Ovis aries: one gene and its partners. The protein of the gene in region 3 interacts with the protein of the main gene of each other region in a pairwise test. Links are inferred from orthologs where the notes say so. Each region holds a gene or a part of one and is shown on either strand. Other genes may lie near its edges. The genes, in order: ENKD1, PPP1R18 and CCDC102B.

Region 1 (6,671 bases), on a different chromosome or scaffold from region 3:
TGCCTGGAAGGCCACGCCGCCCTCTCCTTCAGGAGTCTGGTGGAGAGCTGCCTCTTCACTCCTCCAGGCAAAGCGGCAGTCACCCCAGCACCTGTGGCCCATTCCCTGGGAGACAGGGAGCAAGGCCACGCACCCACTTCCTATGACCTGACAGCCCCTTTCCTTTCTCTTCCCCAGGCTCCTCCTTACCACCCTTCTCCATCCCAGGTGTTACCTTGTCTGACCTTCAGGTTCATCTGAGGAGACTTTAAATGCTCGGACTAGGCCCCACCCTTACAGATTCTGATTCAGTTAGGTCTGGGGTGCTGTGCTGTGCTTAGTCGATCAGTCAGGTCCAACTCTTTGCAAGCCCATGGACTGCAGCCTGCCAGGCTGGGGTTCTCCAGGCAAGAATACTGGAATGGGTTGCCATGCTGTCCTCCAGGGATCAAACCCAGGTCTCCTGCATTGCAGGTGGATTCTTTACCAACTGAGCCACCAGGGAAACCCAAGTATACTGGAGTGGATAGCCTATCCCTACACCAGGGGATCTTCCAAACCCAGGGATTGAACTGGGGTCTCCTGCATTGCAGGCAGATTCTTTACCAGCTGAGCCACCAGGGAAGCCTAGGTCTGAGGCAGTGCCCAGGAATCTATATTTTTGCAAATTCCCAGGCGATCCAGTGACTGCACTGGGGAATCCTTCACCCTTTTTCCCAGCTGCTCCCTCTTCAGGCATCTTATTTGGGGAATCACAGTCTGAGAAAAGGAAGAATGTTTATTTTTATCAAACGTGGGATCCCAGAGAGGGGCAGGGGCTGAGTCCCCTCCTCCACCTGAGAGCCTCAGGCCTTAGACTGCTGCTCTGGCTCAGGCTTGGGAGGGCAGGGAGTCATGGGGTGGGGGTCAGGATAATCACTTGTACTGAGGAGAGAGTGGGGGGACAAGCGGGGCATTGCAGACACTTAGCATCTTGTTGATGTCCACCTGAGTTGACTTGTCCATCTCAGCCTTGAGGCAACCGCTTACCCCCAAGCTGGGCAGACCCCCAGGCTCCTCACTGGCTTCCTCCCCCAGGGGAACCAGAGTGTGGGTCGGGGGCACAAACATACTGGGGCAGGGCAGAGTGAGGTCGGAGCCCAGCTCACCTGCCACTGGCAGCAATGCCTGCAGTTGCTCCACACCCGCCTCCTCGGGGACCACTGTCAGCTCTGACTCAGGCTCCACCTCAGCCTCAGCCTCCCTGTCCCCCTCCCCTGCCTGGTTCAGTTCAGGGTTGCAATAGTTGATGTACTGGTACAGGGGCCGCAGGCGCTGGGCCTTTCCTACAAGAACCCAGGGCAGGGCAATGACTGGAGTGCCAAGCTGGGCTGTGTTGGGTCCAGCTGGCTGGGACAAAAGGGAAGGCTCAGGAAATGCCACTCACGCTCAGGCCCCAAGGTCACTGAGGGTGCCGACACCGTGCTGGCCACCACTGGGAGCACTGGGGTTCCCAGACTCTTGCGCTTCTTGGTCTTTTTGTGCTGTTTGGCAGATGGTGAGGGCTCATTCTGATTATTCTCCGGCTCTTCCCTCTGCAGCGACAGCCCCTGTGGCAACTCACTCTCTGCCCTAGGATGGGCTTGGTGGCTCGGGCCTGTGAGGCTGGGGAACAAGGAGGCCTGAGGAGCCAGCCTGCAGCCTTGGCTCCTGTGCCCTGTCCTAGGGAACAGTCCTGCCTGCCTACCTCCCCAGGCCGTGATCCTTGTCCTTTTCCTGGTCAGTGAGGCCCTGGACTGGACAGGGACCCAGAGATCATGGGAGTTCAGTCCCCTACCAGGCCTTGAGACTTTTGCTCTGCATGTTCCCTACATCAGGGCTCTGGAGGGTCAGCAGAGGTGAGGAATGATGGTGGTGTCAGGGGATAAGGATGGACACTACTGTAAGGCCCCATTTAAGAATCCAACTGGGGTATGAGCCACCCCCACACCACCTCCCCAGTTCCCAGTCTCTTCCCTCTGAAAGCCCCCTCACTTGACCGGCTTCCTCTTCGGACCATGACTGGGCCTCACAGTGGAGGCCGTAGGCCTGGGACCTCTCTCCTCCAGGGCCTCCACCTCTGGTTTGTGCCTGTCTTCCTCCAGCTTGAGTCTCTCCTGGATCTTTGGCTCTGAGGTGGATCTTATTGGACATTTATCTTCATCCTGGGTTTGGCAGGCCTCATGGGCTGGCACCAGGCCCTGGTCTCCCATCACTGGACACTAGCGGTGACACACAGGTAACTGGTCACCATGGCCAGGTAAAGGATACAGGGACCAGCCATTAGACTCTAAATACTCTGGATGAAGGGCACCAGCCCATGCCCCTCCCAGCCTGTGGAACCTGGCCTGGCAGTTTTGGTCTATTAAAGCGCTATGACCCAAGTGTTTGAAGGTTAGACAGCCCGATGGTCACCTCAGAATTCTGAGCATGGCCACCAGGCATCTCTGTAAGCTGTGACTGCCCCACGGCTGCCCCTTCTTGGGCCCCTGGCCGCTTCTCAGCCCCTGCGGAGTCCATAGCTGCGGCGGATCAGCACTTCCTCGACGGTTGCTTGAGGGGCATTGGGGATGGAGGGCGGATCCTGAGGGGCCAGACTAGTAGACCCTGAGCGGACCCGGGAGAGGACCGGATTGGGAAGGGCAACTGACAGTCGTTCTGCTCCCCCCTCAGCTGGAACTACAGGCCCCAGAAGGCTTTGCGCCAAGGCCATTGGCCCCTGACCTCACGGACGGAAACCATTGTTGCCTGGCAACAGCAAACCCGTCGGGTGGCGGCAGTGGGCGGCAAAACCGCTCTGGTGAGCCCCTTGCCCGAGTGAGAAGCCTGCCAACGGTACTGAGAGGTGGGCTGAGAGCAGAGGTGGCGAGCGCAGGCCGGGGCCGGGAGGCGGGGTGGGGGCCGGGAACGCAGGCAGGGCACGGCTGAGGTTAGGACCCGGGGCCAGGGAGGAGGCACTGGGCTGAGAAGCCGGGTTTGGAGCCAGAGACGCGTAGCCCGGCAGGCCTCAGGTGCAACGTTTGCAGGACGGCGGCGGCGGTATGTGTGAGGGTCCGTCCCGCATCTCGGGGCCCATCCCCCCAGACCCTACGCTCTGTCCGGACTACTACCGGAGGCCGTCTTCGGGTGAGTTAGGGAGTGAAAGCGGCCTGGCAAGGGTCGGGCCCAGCTCCACCACTGACTCCGCACTCTGCCCCGTCTGGCCTCTCAGCCCAAGGGCGCCTTGAGGGAAACGCGCCGAAGTTGGACCTGCTGACGACGGATACGGACCCGGACCTAGACGCCACCCCTCCCCGCGCCCCTCGCATCCGTCCGGGAGGCCTAGAAATCCTGGAGCGTGGCCGTCGCGGCGTGGGTGGTGTGCTGCTGCAGCTCGGGGGTATCTCCCTAGGCCCAGGGGCCTCTCCCAAGAGTAAGTTCTGGTCAGAACGGACAGCGAGGCGGCTCTGAAGTCAAAACAGATAAAAAGACGGCTGCTTCCCCTTCCCTGCTCTGGGCTCAGGCTTTACCTCTCAGAGTGTCTGTTTCCCCAACTGTAGAAGGAGCGGGAAATGCACGACTTCTTCGCAGGAGAGGACTAAATGAGGCATACCCCGGAAAAGCCCGTAGCTCAGCTTCATGGATTTATGCATGGTTGGTTGTTGAGTGTCTGCTGTGCTCCAGGCCCTATGGGTGCTAGGAGAACAAGGTCGAAGAAGCGCATCATTGAATCAAGGTGGGAGACAGTAAAACAAGTGAAGAGGTGAATAGGATATGCAAGGTGATTACTAGTATACTTCATAATCAAATATGTATAAAATCATCAGAAACAGAAGATAATTATGGTGTGAGGACGAGAACAAGGTTATGTGGTGGACTTTAGAGTATGTCAGGGAGGCAGGGTGTGGGCTTGTGTGTCCACTGGGGTAAGTTGGATTGTATGGGCTGTATGTAGGGCAACATCTTTTCTCCAGGGAAGGACCCTAAAGACCATGAGAAGGAGAACATGAGGCGGATCAGGGAAATCCAGAGGCGCTTCCGTGAGCAGGAGCACAGCCAGGAGCAGGCCCAATCCAGGCCCCTGAAGGCCCTGTGGCGCTCACCCAAGTATGACAAAGTGGAGTCGCGTGTCAAGGCTCAGCTGCAGGTACCTGCCTCAGGGAGCCCCAAGTGTTGCCCGTCTTGTTGGCCAACAGGACATTATACTCTGACTTGAGTTATGAGGAGGGAGGAAACCCACAGTGGGCTGAGGTCACAGGGGATGAAGAGCTGGTCCTGCTGCAGAGTGGGGCTGTGGCCTTTCTCTGAAGTGATGACAGCTGGGTGATTCTGAGGGGCAAGTCGGAATTAGGCAAGGGGAGAATAGAGGAGAACATTTTATAGAAATGGAACCTTGTGGTTCCAGGGTCCCTGGTCCTAACACCAGGGACTTAGGAGTGTGGGCAGTGGGGATGCTGTGTTCAGTTCACTATGAGGGAGGAAGAACATGAGGTTAGGCTAAGAAGTCAGCTGGACCCACATCATAAAGGGCCACATAAATCCATTTTTTTAAACCTTTATTTCTAAGGACAATGGGAAGGGCAGGGGTATGTATGGTGGTAAGATTCTATCTGGGGTAGCTAGTGGTGCCACTTCTCTTTCCAGGGGTCTGAGAAGGAGAAGTAGGACAGAAAAAAAGACAAGGTCATATGTGGGTGTGTTGAAGCTGAAGCTTTTGTGGGGCTTCCAGGGAGTGGGAATGTGTCCAAGAGGCAGATGGAGAATCAGGTCTGGATCTCAGAAGTGAGACCCAGGAGCTATTGAGGACGAGGCTGAGGATAGTGAAACCAGGGAAGTGACCCTGGATTTGGGGGCTTGGAGACCAGCTGTTGGTGGCCTTGGTAGGGACAGAGCCAGAAAGCTTGACTAGGAAGGAGAGAAAAAGAGAACGATGACTGAAGCCAGGACTGAGGTAGAGGGAGGGAAATATGTTTTCTGAGAGATGTGAAAAACACACAGGTTTAAATGCTGATGTGATGGAAGTACTTATTCAAGAGGAAGGAGGCCAGGTCCAGAGGACTGGTGATAGAGAAAGATCCTGAAAGACAGGAGGGACAGAGGCATGGTCTTACAGCTTGAGACCCTGACTTCAGCCTGACTGACCACCCCCCGCTCTGCCTTGGCCTCCAGGAGCCCGGCCCTGCCTCTAGAACTGAGCCAGCCCACTTTCTGCGGGCCCATTCCCGTTGCGGCCCCGGGCTCCCACCACCCCGTGTCCCCAGTCCCCAGCTAACCCTACCAGGTCCCAATGCTAAGGTGAGAGGATATGTGGGGGCTGGGAGGTGGGGCAGGGATTCCGGGGCACCACACAGTGCTGTTTCATCATGCTGGCCATGTCCCGCAGGCCCCAGGTCTGGGTGTGGACTTCATTATGCACAATGCCCGCACTGCCAAGAGGGCCCCCCGGCGGCATTCTCGCTCGCTGCAAGTCCTGGCACAGGTGCTGGAGCAGCAACGGCAAGCCCAGGAGCACTACAACGCCACGCAGAAGGGTCACGTGCCCCATTAGTAGGTCCTACTGCTCCCCCCACTCCTGGGAAGGGGCACTTATGGAGGGTGGAAGCCCACGTCTGCCTAGGGTCATCAGCCCTGGGTCTGTGCATCACAGCTTGTTGGAGCGCAGGGACCTGTGGCGGCGGGAGGCTGAGGCCCGTCAGCACAGCCAACCAGACCCAGCCATGCCCCCTGGCCACACTCGCATGCCTGAGAACCAGCGGCTGGAGACACTGAGCAGTCTGCTCCAGAGTGAGTACGTGGGCAAGGGGAGCTGGCTGGGGAACCCACCAGGTACTATGCACCCCTGCCCAGCATTTACTGTTCCTGGGGCCCCTGTAGGCCAGAGCCAGCTGCTGCGCGAGCTGGTGCTGCTGCCTGCGGGGGCGGATTCACTGAGGGCCCAGAGCCACCGTGCTGAGCTGGACCGGAAGCTGGTGCAGGTAGAGGAGGCCATCAAGATCTTTTCCCGTCCCAAAGTCTTTGTGAAGATGGATTCCTGAGCCCTTTTATGGGGACAGTGACTGGGTCTTACTGAAGGTCACAGCATGGTTGCTAAGGGCAGGATTGGGCCCCATCATAGAGTGGAGTTCGAAGACAGGAGCAGTGGAGAGGGGGCAGTGTCCCCAGAGCCCTCTTCCCAGCCACTGGTGGCTGTGGAAGGGCCATCCCAGCCTCATAACCCTTTATCAAAATTAAACCTTTTGTACACAGTGGGGTTTGTTTCCATAAGTGCTTTTCTTACCCTAGAAATGCCAAACCTGTTGTTCCTCCCGCAGTGTGACTACAGGAAGACTTCTCTGGTGCCCTTATCACACTCACTCCTGCCACATGTCCAGAGAAGAAGGCAAAATTGTTGGATCAGGGAGGAGGCTAGGGCTGGGAAACAGAATGACCATAACTGCATTTGTAGAAAACCTTTAATGTTCCCCAGACTGAGAGGGCCCGTAAGCACGCTGAAACCTCCCACTGGGAAAGTCCTTGGAGTGTCCCAGAGCCTGGAGTGGCAAGGGGCTGCATCCTTCCCTGTCAGAGGCTGAAGCCACTACCATCTCCTCGAATGCTACTCCCCCAACCAGAGCTGGCCTGCTCCCGATCATCCAGGGAGGGCAGAGAGCTGCGGGCAGCAGGAAGTAGGCGGCTTGTGCGCAGGTCCCAGCATG
Region 2 (6,669 bases), on a different chromosome or scaffold from region 3:
TCTCCCACCCAGATGGGCTGGGCTGGGTCAGAGACTCGGGAATGGAAAGCATGGGGGGGTGAACTCAGAGCCTGAGGGAGAGAAGAGTGAGGAGCCTGGGCACACCCTGAGAGAGACACACCCAGGACAGCGAGCCTGATTGCGGAGCAGGCTCCTTGGGCTGGGAAATGAATGGAAAAGAAGGGCCACAAGAAGGAAGGGTGTGTGTTCAGGGGAGGAAGGGTGGCAGCAGGAATGAACAAGAATAGATGAAGACAAGGATACAGAGGTATAAAAAAAGGGAGAGAGACAGGAGTCCACAGAGCAGTGATGGGGGGCTGGCCAAGAAGTCTGGGTTGGCTGCTCCCTACCTGTTTGTGGCGCCTTTCAGGGGACCCCTTGACAAGGCAGCTGCGGCTGAGGCGGAGGTAGCCCCCCAGAACCAAGATCTCCTCGGCAGTCGGGTACCGCTTCTTCCCAGCCCCAGGGACCGCCGTGTCAGCTGTGGCTGGGGCGGCTGGAGTGGCAGGGGCTGCAGGGGGCGCGGACCGCCGGGGGTTGACTGTGAAGGTGTGTCCGCTGCGGCGGGGGGCCCCCACCCCTGGCCCTGCCTTCACCCCGTAGAAGAGCCGGCTCATGAGGGGATCCCCAAGGGACTGGGGGGCAGGTGGGGCTGGGGGTGGGGGAGACAGAGGGGCTGCGGGTGGGGGCCGGAGTTCCCCTGCTTCCTCTTCCTGCCGTCTAGAGGCTCCAGTCCCGGCGTCCTCTGGGGAGAGGGGGGAGGGCGCAGAGCAGCGGTCCTGCAGGGCGCCCAGAGGCCTGCTCTGAGCGCCCGCCTCCTCCTTCTCAGCCTCTGCACCCAAAGGACCCACGTGCTTCTCAACAGACTCTGGAGTGTCTGGTTTCTGGGGCTGAGGCTCTGTGTCCCTGGGTGTCCAGTCTCGGGCCTTCCCAGAGTTCAGGGTCCATTTCCATCCTTCCGGGGGCCGCAGGCCCCTCTCGCCATCCTCTACGGGGCTGGGCCTTTCTTCTGCTCCCTCTGGTCCTGCAGAGCGACTGTCTGGAGCCTCCCTTGTTGGGGTCTCTGACGACGCTGTGGTCCCTTCTGGGTCCATTCTTGGAATCGGCCTCTCGTCTTTTCTCCCCCATTCCTCTGAGCAGTCTTTTCTTTCTTCTCCTGAACTCGGCCTCCACTCTGATGCCTCCAGTTGTCCCAAACTCTGTCCCGGAGACTCTTTGGGGTCAGGCCTCCATTTATGGGAGTCTGTCAGGCCCAGCTTCTGGTTGTCAGACTCTTCGGGGCTCCGTTTACTGTCCACCACCTCTGTTCTCCTGGGGCTTTGTTCTCGGGGCTCTGCCAGTCTCAAACTCCGCTCAGGAGTTTCTCCAGGGCTCAGCCTCCATTTCCGCACCTCTGACAGTCTAGAGCTCCTGTCTCCAGCCTCTCCTGGGCTCTGCCTCCAGTCCCGAGACTCCAAAGGCCTGGGGCTCGACTCTCGAGCGCCCCCTATCCCCAGCCTCTTCTCTCTGGCCTCCCTAGGACTGAGCCGCTCTTCCCTGGACTCTCTTCCCTTGGGGCTGGGATCCCGTGTCTCCCCGGGGCTGGGTCTCCGCCCCCGGGTCTCCAAAGGTCCAGGCCGTTTGTCCGTGAGTAGCTCTTCACTCCGCTGCTGTTGCTGCTGCTGCTGCTGCTGCTGCTGCTGCTGGCGCTCTTGCCGGATAAATCGGTTCTGGTGCACAGGCCCAATGGCCTCCAGGAGGACAGCAGACTCGTCTGGGTTTGGAGGTCCAGCCTCCGTAGTCCCAGGCGCAGGGCTAGGCTCCCCAGGAGACAGACCAAGCTTGGCCCGGCGGCGCTCCAGAAGGCCCCGCTTCCAGGCTGGCATCTGCGACAGCCGCTCCCGCTCTGCCGTCTCACGGCCGCGAACGGCTGCCTCTTCCTGCCGGCGCCGGGCTAGCAGCTGTAGCTTCCAGTCTGGGATGGTGGCCATGGTCGCCTTGGGGAGGGTGGGGGAACGCTGGGGGGCAGAGAACAGGAAGGAGAGGCTCCAGAGGGGCCCAGGAGGTGAGAATGGGGGTGGGGGAGAGGAAGCAGGGGGAGAGGTGGGTCACAGAGGAGCTGAGGGTGAGGACAGTAGGAAAGGGGGCGGCGGAGGGGAGCAGAGAAAGGGGAAAACCTGAGAAAGTGAAGAGGAAACTAAGAGCCAGGTGATGGGGTTGGGGGAGGTGGGTCGAGAGGAACAGTGGAGATTCAGGGCAAAGAGACAGGAGTCAGATTTGTGGGTACAGGTTACTGGGCATCAGAGACAGTCCCCAGGTTGTGAGAAGAGGGAAAAACGAAAGAAGCTGGCACGAGGGAGAAGAGAGAAGAGAGGCTGGGGGTGAGCGGGGCAGGATCCGACCGAGGTTGCCTGACCGCTACCTCAGGAGCGGCGGGAGTGGGAAGCGAGGTCAGCGGGATCCCCGGCGGAGAGGGGGCAGTGGGACCTGAAGGGGTGTCGGGAAGGTGGGAGGGCGGAGAGTGGACAGGTCCAGGGGAGAAGGGGGAATCGGGGGCAGAGGGGCGAGGGAGCTCGGCGGCTGTAGCCGGGCGAGTCTCGGCGCGGGCCCCGGAGGTCCGGGCTCCCCTTCCAGCTCCGCTTGAGCCACGCCTCTCAGACCCCCCAGCCCCCACCCCTCCGCCCTGCACTCCGCCCCGGGGCGGGCCAGGGGAAATACCCTCCCCCGGGGACTTTCGGAACCCGGCGATCGGAGCTGCCAGCTCGTTCCCAGAACCCTGGCGTCCACCCCCCACCAACCCTAACCCGGTCCGGGCCCCGCCGCCGGCCTCCCCCACCGGCGATGCCCCGGGGTCCCGGGCGAGCGAGCGCCTCAGGCGTACGGAGCACCGGCTCCACACCGCTTCTCTCCGGAGCCGGCCAGTCTCGCGCCGGGGTCTCGGCGCTCATGGAACCCCGACCTCGCCAGCCGTCCCCACCCGGCTATGACCGCACTGACGGGCAATCTCGGCACAAAGAGAGGAGAGGCAGCCCGAGGTCCGCGCCCGGGACGGAAGGGAGGGGACACCCCCTCCCCAAGTCTGAAGCCCCTGGGTCAACTCACATGCCGCGGGGCTCCCGGGGGAGGGGGTGCGAAGGAGCCTGACGTCCGGAGAGAGGAGGAGAGAGGAAGAGGAGGAGAGAGGGATAGAGGGAGATCCGGGGCAGGAGGTGGGGGGGGGCGCGGGGGGCGCGGGAGGGGGGAAGGGAGGAGAAGGGGAGGGACGGAGACAGACCCGGGGGCCGAGCGGGGGGCGGCCGCCGCTTTGTCTGAGGACAATGGGGAGAGGGAAGGGGGCGCTGGGCGGAGCCGGGCGCGGGGGCGGAGCCTCGCTCCCCGGGTCCCCCGCGTGGATCCTCGGCCCCGGGACTCCTGTTTTCCCGCCGCGATCCCCGGCACTCCGCGGTCCTTCCCCAGGGCCTCTCACGCGGCTGCCGCCCGGTAACCCTGGACAGCCCAGGTGTCCAGACCCCCACCCCCAGCTAGCCAAGCCGGGGCGGCGGCCCGTGACTCAGACCCCTCGAGGGACTTCGGGAGGAAGCGGCAGCTGCTCGGAGCCGGGCCCGCCCTTCCCATCTCCTGCCGCTCCTCCCCACGCTTTTGCCTTCCCGGGCCAGCCTTTGTTACCGTGGGGGCGCTTGCGGGGCCCGTGGGGAGGGGGCGGCCACAGGAGCAGGGCTGGGAAGACAACGGTTTCGGAAGCTCGCTCCCTTACCCGAACCGTCTCCCCACTCTTCCGTTTCAGCCCGTCCCCCACCCGGGTCTGCAGCAAGGAAATTGGGAGATTTGGAGGAAGGGGGACCGGGTGCTCCGGGAAGGGGGTGGAGGGCTGGGTGCGCGGGGAGTGGCCGCCGCCCAGCGGTCACCAGAAGGCGCGGCCGATGCCCAGACTCCAATGTAACTCGCCTTTCCCAGAGCCAGCCCTGCAGCTTTGAGAGACACTGACAGACTGCATTCTACACGTAGAAAAACCAGACTGAATTTTATTTTCCTGTAGCGTGAGTTCCTCGGGAAAGCAGGGAGCCTCTAGTCACCTTAGCTAAGAACGGGAGAAACCGCTCAACTAGGTTCAGGAGGATGGAGCCTAGGGTCGGGGCCTAGGGAGCTGAAAAGGCCAGACAGTGGGCCTCGGTCCAGCCCCTGGGAGGGAGCTAGACGTGGAGAAAGGATCCCTGAGGCACAGAGGGTAGTAACAGGGCTAAGGGAGTGGTCAAGCCAGACTCTTCTCTTGGTGAGGAAATTGTTAACGGAGGGTCAAGCCCTGAACTGTGAGAAGAAGTTCCCAGCCACTCCTTCCTGGCTGGTGAGAAGTGGCCCTTGGAGTCCAATGGCTGAAATTCAGTATGGAGCTGGAACCAAGGAGTGGAGGCTCAAGCAAGGAAAGGGACCACTCCTTCAGTCCATGGATTTGGGCCTCTGGTCTGAAGCAGCCAAGGCCTAGATGTTAAGGGAATTTGGGATAGGAGGGAGAGAGGAAGTACAGGGCTTGCAACCAGGGTTAACCCCTTACTCGGCCTCCCCATCCTGGGGCCGGGAGAGCAGGTGGAGTTTTCTTTGTAGCTGGGCCCGGAGATAGCGGAGATCATGCTGGTCCAGTCCGTGAGCCAGGCCCAGGTAGAGGGTAAGGAGGAGAGCAAGGAGCAGGCGGTCAGTGCCCAGGGTGGGTACCACCCATAGCACTGTCAGCAGCTCCACGCACACTGGATGGCGCAGGTGGGAGAAGAGTCTCAGAGCCCGGGGCGACTTCAGGGCCAGAGGCTCGCCCAGCCCCAGCACATGGTAGTACACCTAGCAGAGGGAGAATGGCTTAGGAATGGAGCCAAGCCCTTGTCACAACTTAACTGCCTCTTTCCTCCCGTCCTGGGCACCCTCCTTCTATGACAGGCTCAGGAACCACCCTCCTGAGACTGGAGGTCCCTGACCCTCATCTCTGGCCCATGAACCTTCCCAGGCCCAAGAAGCCCATGATTCCTAGCCTTTGAGGGAGGGCTGGGGGGAGACTGTCTTATAAGAAAGGGAGGTGAAGGGCTCAAAAACAAGAGGCAGGTGGAAGACAATGGGAGGCACAGGGACATCCTTGGAGGGGAAAGAGGTATTCTAGAAAGGATCAGATGTCTTGGGTAGGGATCTGGGAGCCTCACCTGTTTCAGGCCCATGAGCTCTGCGTAGTCGAAGACGAGAAGGATGCTGAAGATGAGGAGCCAGGAAATGACGTGGAGGACAAAGCAGAGGAGGGGCACCCAAGTGGCCCATGGCTCAGCCCGAGCCTCCCACAACACAGGACCCCTGGGCACAGGCTCCCAGTACCGCATCACCAGCTGAGGAAGGAAGAGGAACTGGGTTTCCCAGCAGCCCACCCTTGACAGACCCAGACCCAGGGGCTGCCTCCAGTCCAGGCTGGCCAGCTGTTCCCCCCACCTCTATCATGAGCATGTTCACCATGTGGAGGGTGCTGGGTGGGGTCCTAAGGATGTAAGAATGACTTGTCTCCACTCTGAGGACTTAGAGAATGGATGAGGGTGACCACATAGGCACACAAAATAGCCTATGCCAAGCACCCACTGAGGAGACAGGTGAGTACTAACCGGGAAGCTTTCTCTTGAGATCTAGGGAAGTGCTTTTGAAGAAAGGATAAGACTGAAGAGGTGTTACCAAGGCACTCTCAAGCGGGACAACAGGAACGAAGTTGCAAAGGTGAGAATGCACACATCATGCGTAGGGGATGACAAGCAGTACATACTTCTTGATAAAAAGGAGAAATGTGTGCTGTGAAATAACGGGAGCTGAGACTAGTCCTGAACACCCTCAGTTCTCCTCCTAAACCCACACTTTATCCGAAGCCTGAGGTTCTTGCAGCTCCAATCAATGACATCCTTCACACATGCTGTTTCCCTTGAGGACTCAGCTGCCAGGGCTTCATACCTGCAAGGCCAGGGCAGTGCATGCCACGTACAGTGACCTCTGAAGGACCCCAAAGTACCGGGACATCCATTCCTTCACGGTCTCAGTTGCCATGAGGCTGTGCTGCCCCACAAACAGTAACAGGAGCCCCAGATCCCAAACCAGCGGGACAAGGATGCTTTGGTCCTGCAGGGCAGCCAGCCATCCCTGGCGGGCATCTAGCGGGAGTTGGAAAAAGGTACAAAAGATCAAGAAGACTGTGGGAAACACTCTCTACCTTCACCTCCTCTTGGGGACCCCAGGCCATGTCCCTTAATGCTTTCAAGAGCCTTATCACTTCCTCTCTAGGCTTTGCCCACCTCACTTTGCTATTCCCTGTTTCTCCCCCTTTCCCCATGCTTCTTTCAGAGCTGGGGAAGAACATTCCTGTTGGGCAGTCACGAAAGGCATGGCTGGAGTGCCCTTCATGTTTCGGTTCTCCAAATGCTCCCTCTTTGTAACGCCCTCTATAGTCCTCTCTACGAAGCACTTTCCTGAGAATTTCTGTTCATTGCCCTTTCCCTCCCCCTCAATCCTCACTCTCCCGCCTCTCCAAACCGCTAATCCCAGAGTTCCTAATTTAGCCCTCCGGTCTCCTCGGCCTCGTCTCGGCGGCTTTCAAGGCTCTAGTTCCCTCTCCAGGACTTCCCCTGTCATTTGTCTCCAAGCCCCGCCCCACGCTCCCTCTGCTCCGGCTCCACCTCCCTACCC
Region 3 (6,651 bases):
GGAATAATAAAATTGTTTCTAGCTCGAGAGACTGGATGGTGACATACAAGACTAAACATTAATAAAGAAATGTTGCATTCTGGCAAATGTATTTTGAAGAAGGAATTTGATAAGATGGTTAAAAATCATTAGAGATTTCAAATAGCAGGAGTATTAGAAATAAGCAACTGTAACTCTTACTAAGGGCTTGCCAGGTGGCGTTCATGATAAAGAACCCACCTGCCAATTCAAGAGATATAAAAGGTGTGGGTTTGAGCCCTGGGTCAGGAAGATCCCCTGGAAGAGGGCATGGCAACCCACTCCAGCATTCATGCCTGGAGAATCCCATGGACAGAGGAGCCTGGTGGGCTACCAGCCACTGGGTCTCAAAGGATCAAACATGACTGAAGCGACTTGACGTACACAACATAAACTCTTACTAAAGATGTAGAGGAACAAGCTTGGAGTCAGAGAGATCATTTAGGAAGACACTGCAGTGATCCAGACAGGTTATAGCAGTTACCTGAACCAGGACTGTTGCAGGGGCACGAGAGAGGACTGGGCAGATTACTGAAGTAAAATCAAAAGCAAATGATGCTGCATTGAATACAGATAGAAGTCAAGGATGATGTCTAGAATATTTTTTTAGCTAAGTGTTAGACAGGTTGGCATAACTGAGGCAAACAATACAGCTAGTCCATGGAAAGATGATGATTTCAGTTTTAAATAACTTGATGCTATATTGTCATCTTTCCTAGTAGCAGAGTATAGTGTGATGATATATATGAGTGTTGGAGACTCAGAAGAGGATTGGATCCAAATGTCAGTATTTGGAAATATTACAATATTCGGAAGGAAAGGTGATCATTGAAACCATTAGAATGGGTGACATTATCCAGAAAGGTAATAGATTTACATGAAGACACACTGAAGGATGTAAGGATGAGGGGGAAAAGAAAAGTGAGTGGTCACACGGGAGACCAGGAAGATGTAGTGCTGAGATCTGAGAAGTCTTCACATCGGCGCTGTGGTGAACAATAACAACGGCTACGTAGATGCCGAGTAGCACGGAGACTGAGAGGAGTCTATGAAATTAAAAAAAAAAAAAAATAGTGCCTGTGTGTGAATGCGTGTGTGCAGAGGGGCAAGTATGTGTTTTCAGAGACAGTCACTTTGGTGAACTAAAGGGAGTAGTGGACAGATTAAGTGGAGTTCTTAGAAAGAACTGGAAAGAGGTCTTTCAGTCATCTTACCGTGAAACAGAAGAGAATGCTAACTACGAGGGAAGATGACCCACCTGAGAGCAAGACCCACTGGCATACCTGAGACTCGCAGAACTGATGGTGTTTAGGATCCCATGAGGAAAACCCAGAGGAAAGGAGAGTTCAGTGAGAGAAGGGTATAGTGACTGAGCACATCTGAAAAGACAGGATGGAAGGAAACCTCAGAGGGTTCACTTTCTGTGGGGGATTGGTCACCCTCCATTGTATCAGGAAGAATGGAAGGATGCTCTTCACTAGAAAATAGATGACGGATCTGTTACACAGCTGGGACTTCCCCGTATAGCTCAGCACGTAAAGAATCTGCCTGCAATCCAGGAGACATCCCAGACGCAAGTTTGATCCCTGAGTCGGGAAGATCCCCCGCAGAAGGAAATGGCAACGCAGTCCAGTATTCTGGCCTGGAAAATCCCATGGACAGAGGAGCCTGACAGGCTACACAGTCCATGGGGTTGCACAGAGTCAGACATGGCTGAGCGGCTAAGCACAAGCAGGTTATACAGCCAAGAATATTCATCTGAATTAAAAAGAGGAAGAATAAAATCTTTGAAAATATTAACTCCCTAACTTTCAAATGCTGTTTTCATGCTATTTATTAATATAAGAATACAGTGACTGTGTTTCTTCTGCCCTCTCCTCTGAAAAAAACTTTGGACGTTCTATGCTGTTAGTTAATTCAACTAGAAAAAAACTTGTGTGTGTGTGTGTGGTCTGCCGTCACCCATTCATCAGGACACTTCCTGACAGCTGCATCATGTCGCAGGAAGGTCACTCCATTTGTTTTTTGTCCCACCCCCCACCCCGACCCGACCCCACCCAGGGCAAGGGCCAGAGAGCTCTCTGGGGGCCCAGGAGACTGCAGCTCACAGTTCTTGCCTACATGAATGAAATCAAAGGTTCTGACATACCTTTCTGTATCTTGATTTCTATACCCAAGTAGTTTATTACATATCCTTTTTTCTTTGGGGGCACAATCTAATAAAGATCAGATTGAACCAATGATGCTTCCTTTTGTTCCTGTCATCTGCATTATAATCTTTCTTTAAATCTTTTACGGATAGATTCTTTTTGCTTTGCCAATTTTTCTGTTACTGCTGCAAGTTAAGCAAATTGCTATTAAACATTAAACACACTGGTGGGTGATGAAGGGGTGTGTGTTTCTCCCTTTATTATGCATAGTAAAATTTCAAATAGGTTGTGTAGAAGCATTAGATTACGGTGCTGAGTTAGGGACACTAAAACGATTTCCTTTTGGATCGCTCACTTGTGATCCACGGAGGGTGTTGTGGTATTGGTTTTGATAAAACTTCACAACCAATTGGAACCTTCTTCGAGTTAGTGTGGAGTGGCCTTAATGCTGGAAATAATCCTGTTGGCCTGGACCCCAGAGCTATACAGATGAGAAAAGGATGCAGGGAATTCTTCTGTTTACACATGTGTCTGTAACACTGAGCCGCCGGAGCAGCCCAGCCAGCCCAGAGGGTAAGATGCTTAATAACCTTGTGGCTTTTTATTTAATTTTTGTATTTTCCTGCTTGGGTAGAACCTGTGTTGTTCTCGGAGCAAAGAAAAAGACAGTTGCTTATAAGATCCAAAACAAAACTACCATAGGTCTGGGAAACAGAGGGAATGGACGTTTCTTCTTAAAGTGGACTTGATTTCTTCCCTGCCTCTTCTGTTTCCCACGTTGGTATTATTTCTCCTGGCAGCTTGTTACACAATTCCAGTTTTGTAAAAAAACAAAAACAAAAAACAAAAACCAACATACTGTATACTAACAAAACTCAGGTAAGATTTTTCAACTCTAAACTTAGACAGTAAGATAATATGTTGATAATAAGACCTTGTCTTGTAGTTCCAAATGAATGAGTTAGCCAATGTGTTTGAAGTAGTTTATATTCTTAGAGTAAAAATAAAGTAGAATTGCTATGCAAATCCTCCTACGTATGCCTCGTGCATTTAGAGTTATTTTCATTTTGCTGGTCCGTGTGCTGAATTCCTGTCACTGTTAGCAGAAAAGTATACTTTAAACTTAGCACTAATATTGATTTCTCTATGTAAGTTACCTGGGTAGTGTGGAGAAGAGACATAAAATAATACAATCCTATATAAAATAAAAGGAAATGGATATTTAGAGAAAGTCATTACAGAACTGAAGAAAACATAGCCTCTGGGAAGTATTTGCTTATGTTTCCTGCAAAGATAAATTATGAAATGAAGGTTGAGTGGGCAGAGCTGTTAAATAGAAATAAAAAGGAGATATTCTTTTAAAAAATATAATTATAAATGTGCAACATAGCTTTGAAATGCACGGTGATATTTCTTGATATTCTTGCTTACAGGAGCACTAGTTATCCTATTTTCTAAAATCATCTGAATACACATTTGCTAATATTTTTGTGGGATAGAGTATTGTTACAACTTTTGATTAAATATTTTGTTGTTAATTTTATTGTCAAATATCCTCACATATAAATTAGTTTCTAATTCTGACTTTTCTCCATAGTTTTACAGAAGCATTAGATTAGAAAGGAGTCTTGAAAAGCTAGCGATACAACAGTTGCATAAGTTTGGTGTAATTTTGCAATACTGATTTAATATCAACGTGTATTTGAGTATTTGGAAAAATGTTTTACATGAATTGCATTTCCCCCCAAAACTTTAAAAAGTAGCTTCCTTGTGAGATAACATCATTCAGTGGGGTCTCTTTTGAAGCTTTCATGTGTTTTCATTGGATTCAGTATTTGTTTGACACAGGGACATAGTTTGTGGTGCCTCACTATGGGTGTAGCCTTGAAATTTATGATTTTAGAGACACCTTGAAAGAAAAGTCTGGATGCCTGAGTTGAGGTTTAAAAAATCAGTGGAATTTCCACTGTGATAAGAGAACAGACTATGTAGGATTTTAATACCTTTAAACCATGAAATTTCTGCAGCTTCTTTTATCTCCCTGGATATGTTCCAGTGTCTCCTAGTTTATAGTCTATGGGAACTTGAATAGCATTTGTATCCTACTGTTGTGTGAAAATTGTATAAACCTTAATTACATTGAATTGGTTCAGAGTAATTTTCAGGTCCACTGTACCCTTCTACTTTTCTGTTTACTTTTCTTTCTATTAATTTTTGAGCATTTGATACTGAAACTCCAATTAAAAATCTTATCTACTTAAACAAGTGATTGTAATATATAGTGGAACTTACATGTAACTTTGTTCTGTATTTTCCAAGTCTCCTGTAAATCTGCTATCATACTTTCATAATCTAAAAAGGGAAAAAAATCAGTGGAACTTGAATAGTTGCTAAAAACCCCAAAGACTCTTCTACGATGTAGAAGTGATTGGAGCAAAGGATTTTGAGGCAAAAATTAATATAGAGCGAGGTAGGCTAGGGATGAGTAACCCATCTCACTGAAGCAGAAAAAAATATACCTTGTGAGTAGTAGACACTGGGCTCAATAGAAAGCAGGACATTTATTTTGTCCTTACATAATATACAGAGGTGGCAATTACAAATTTCTGAAGATGCAAATTTCTTCTACTCATCCTCTTCTTCCTTCTTCTTCATCATCTTATTCTTCTTAACCATCAGCTTCTTCTTCATCGTTGAAATATTTTCAACATGTAAGTGTGCTTCTGTGTGCAAGGTAATTACATACGTATCTACAAGTTTGACAGCTATGCAATCAAATGAGCTTCATTTTACACAGTATCTTCATGTTATACATGAAGGAATCTGATGTTCAAAAATGTTAGATGATTTCTTTAAAGCTGCAGATATAGTAAGTGAAGCAGGATTCCAAACAACGTCTTTCTGGCTCCAGAGCTCTTCTACTCTGCTGCACTGGTATTTTAGGAATGTAAATCTGGCAGGAGTTAGCGAGATGGTTGGGAGTGGGCTTTGGGGTAAGCGAGCCCCAGGAATGGGTGGTGAGACCACAGGCAGATCAATTCCAGCAACTGTAGACCAAGCCAATCACAGCCCCCTCAGGTGGCCCGCTCTTGCCTTTGGAATAGAAAGAAGAAAATAAGCAGTCTTTACATTTAAGTTGGCTGTTCTCGTATTCAGCTCTTTTGTTTGTCTCGGTTATTTTCTTGAATGTTGTATTCATACTCAAAGAAGGTATATTTTGATTTCTCAAAGGAAATTTCATCTCTGATTTCATCTAATATTACTTATTCACAAATGAAATAAATGAAGTGACTGGAAATGAAATGACATTGGGAACACACTGCCATTCCTTTTTTTTTTTTTTTTTAATGTGGGCTATGAATGAATGCCTAGTGACTGCATCTTCTTAAAATTATGGAGATACAATTATTACCAAAGAAAATTATCCTATAAGTTTTATTTCAGTGGGTGAAGAGCATATATAAAGTTTATACTGCTAATAGATTATGTTGGGAAGAGTGTACAGATAGTAAAAAGAACTTGTTAACAACACTTTCCCCTTCAAATAGCCAAACCTTAAATGTATTATTTCGCTTTTCCTCTAAAGAGCACAGAACTAGTCTCTTCAATAGCATTCATTTCCTTCTCTATTTTTCAGTATTTTTAATGAAATAAAATTATAAAAGTTCCTTATGTTATAATAATGAGTTTTGTATATATATGTATAATTTCTATGATATCATTTTAGAAATGTACTATTTTAGAAACTTGCTATCACTTATAGGCTTTATTGAAGTAATATCTTTTACCAAGCATCCAAAGAGATAAAGATAGTTGAAATGTAAAAATTCATCCTTTTAAACTTGTCATTGTTAAAATTATTTGTCATTTCAAATGCTTTGGTCACTGGCTTTATGATATTATAATTATTTAATTAAATTAAGTAACTAGATCTAGGCTGACTTCCAAGACTCTTTCCCAGAGAGGGGATTTTGTATAGCCCCATCCTCTATGGCTGATTATAGATGCTCATTTATGATCAAGTGTGAATTGAGAATTTGATTATTAAAAAAATGAAATAGGTATTTTATTGGAGAAAATCAGACCATCAAAGAGAAGATGGGTTGGGCTCAAGGCCATTTGACTGATATCATAGCTTTGCAGAAGATTATTCATCTTTCTGTATGTATAAATATTACCTGATTGATTTATAATCAGTGGTATTTGCCAAGAATTGCTGTTAGGTGTAACAAAGATATACAGATATTTGAAATTAACGTTCTGATAGAAGCATTTTTTTGGCATGTGAAGACAGATATCCTTAGTATTGGGTAGGAAAAATATGCTTACTGCAGAACTTACAAATGGTGTTTTATCCTAATGCTTGCTTTTAATTTGTAGAATTAAAGTTTCAAAAAAAATAGAAGTGAGTCTGTCAGCCACTGACTCATGAACATATGTTTCTAAGATGCAGGAACCATTTAGAAATGTAACAGGAGGTAAA

What was found.
Region 1: the proteins of CCDC102B (region 3) and ENKD1 interact in binary tests that used the Homo sapiens proteins (3 or more experiments, as listed by UniProt). The two-hybrid records come from large-scale screens. The link is inferred for Ovis aries from reciprocal best matches to the Homo sapiens genes CCDC102B and ENKD1.
Region 2: the proteins of CCDC102B (region 3) and PPP1R18 interact in binary tests that used the Homo sapiens proteins (3 or more experiments, as listed by UniProt). The two-hybrid records come from large-scale screens. The link is inferred for Ovis aries from reciprocal best matches to the Homo sapiens genes CCDC102B and PPP1R18.

Annotation. Positions count from the first base shown.
Region 1 is NC_056067.1:34,774,399-34,781,069, reverse strand, and holds ENKD1 (enkurin domain-containing protein 1), read left to right. Parts: upstream 1-2,737; 5' UTR 2,738-2,797; exon of another isoform or gene 2,798-2,842; intron 2,843-3,023; 5' UTR 3,024-3,038; coding exon 3,039-3,123; intron 3,124-3,208; coding exon 3,209-3,409; intron 3,410-3,950; coding exon 3,951-4,123; intron 4,124-5,145; coding exon 5,146-5,271; intron 5,272-5,359; coding exon 5,360-5,523; intron 5,524-5,623; coding exon 5,624-5,760; coding exon of another isoform or gene 5,761-5,764; intron 5,765-5,850; coding exon 5,851-6,011; 3' UTR 6,012-6,224; downstream 6,225-6,671. Other genes in the region: C14H16orf86 (uncharacterized protein C16orf86 homolog), read right to left, coding at 895-1,304, 1,406-1,653, 1,993-2,219, 2,413-2,517; PARD6A (partitioning defective 6 homolog alpha), read right to left, coding at 6,538-6,671. UniProt on the Homo sapiens protein: Microtubule-binding protein which regulates microtubule organization and stability. Promotes the stability of astral microtubules and facilitates the proper orientation of the mitotic spindle.
Region 2 is NC_056073.1:27,436,909-27,443,577, reverse strand, and holds the start of PPP1R18 (phostensin), read right to left. Parts: upstream 3,807-6,669; 5' UTR 3,734-3,806; exon of another isoform or gene 3,082-3,733; intron 1,998-3,081; 5' UTR 1,971-1,997; coding exon 351-1,970; intron 1-350. Other genes in the region: NRM (nurim), read right to left, coding at 4,525-4,806, 5,160-5,336, 5,941-6,137.
Region 3 is NC_056076.1:8,634,021-8,640,671, reverse strand, and holds the start of CCDC102B (coiled-coil domain-containing protein 102B), read left to right. Parts: upstream 1-2,689; 5' UTR 2,690-2,741; intron 2,742-6,651. UniProt on the Homo sapiens protein: During interphase, forms fibers at the proximal ends of centrioles to maintain centrosome cohesion. During mitosis, dissociates from the centrosome following phosphorylation to allow centrosome separation. Contributes to CROCC/rootletin filament formation.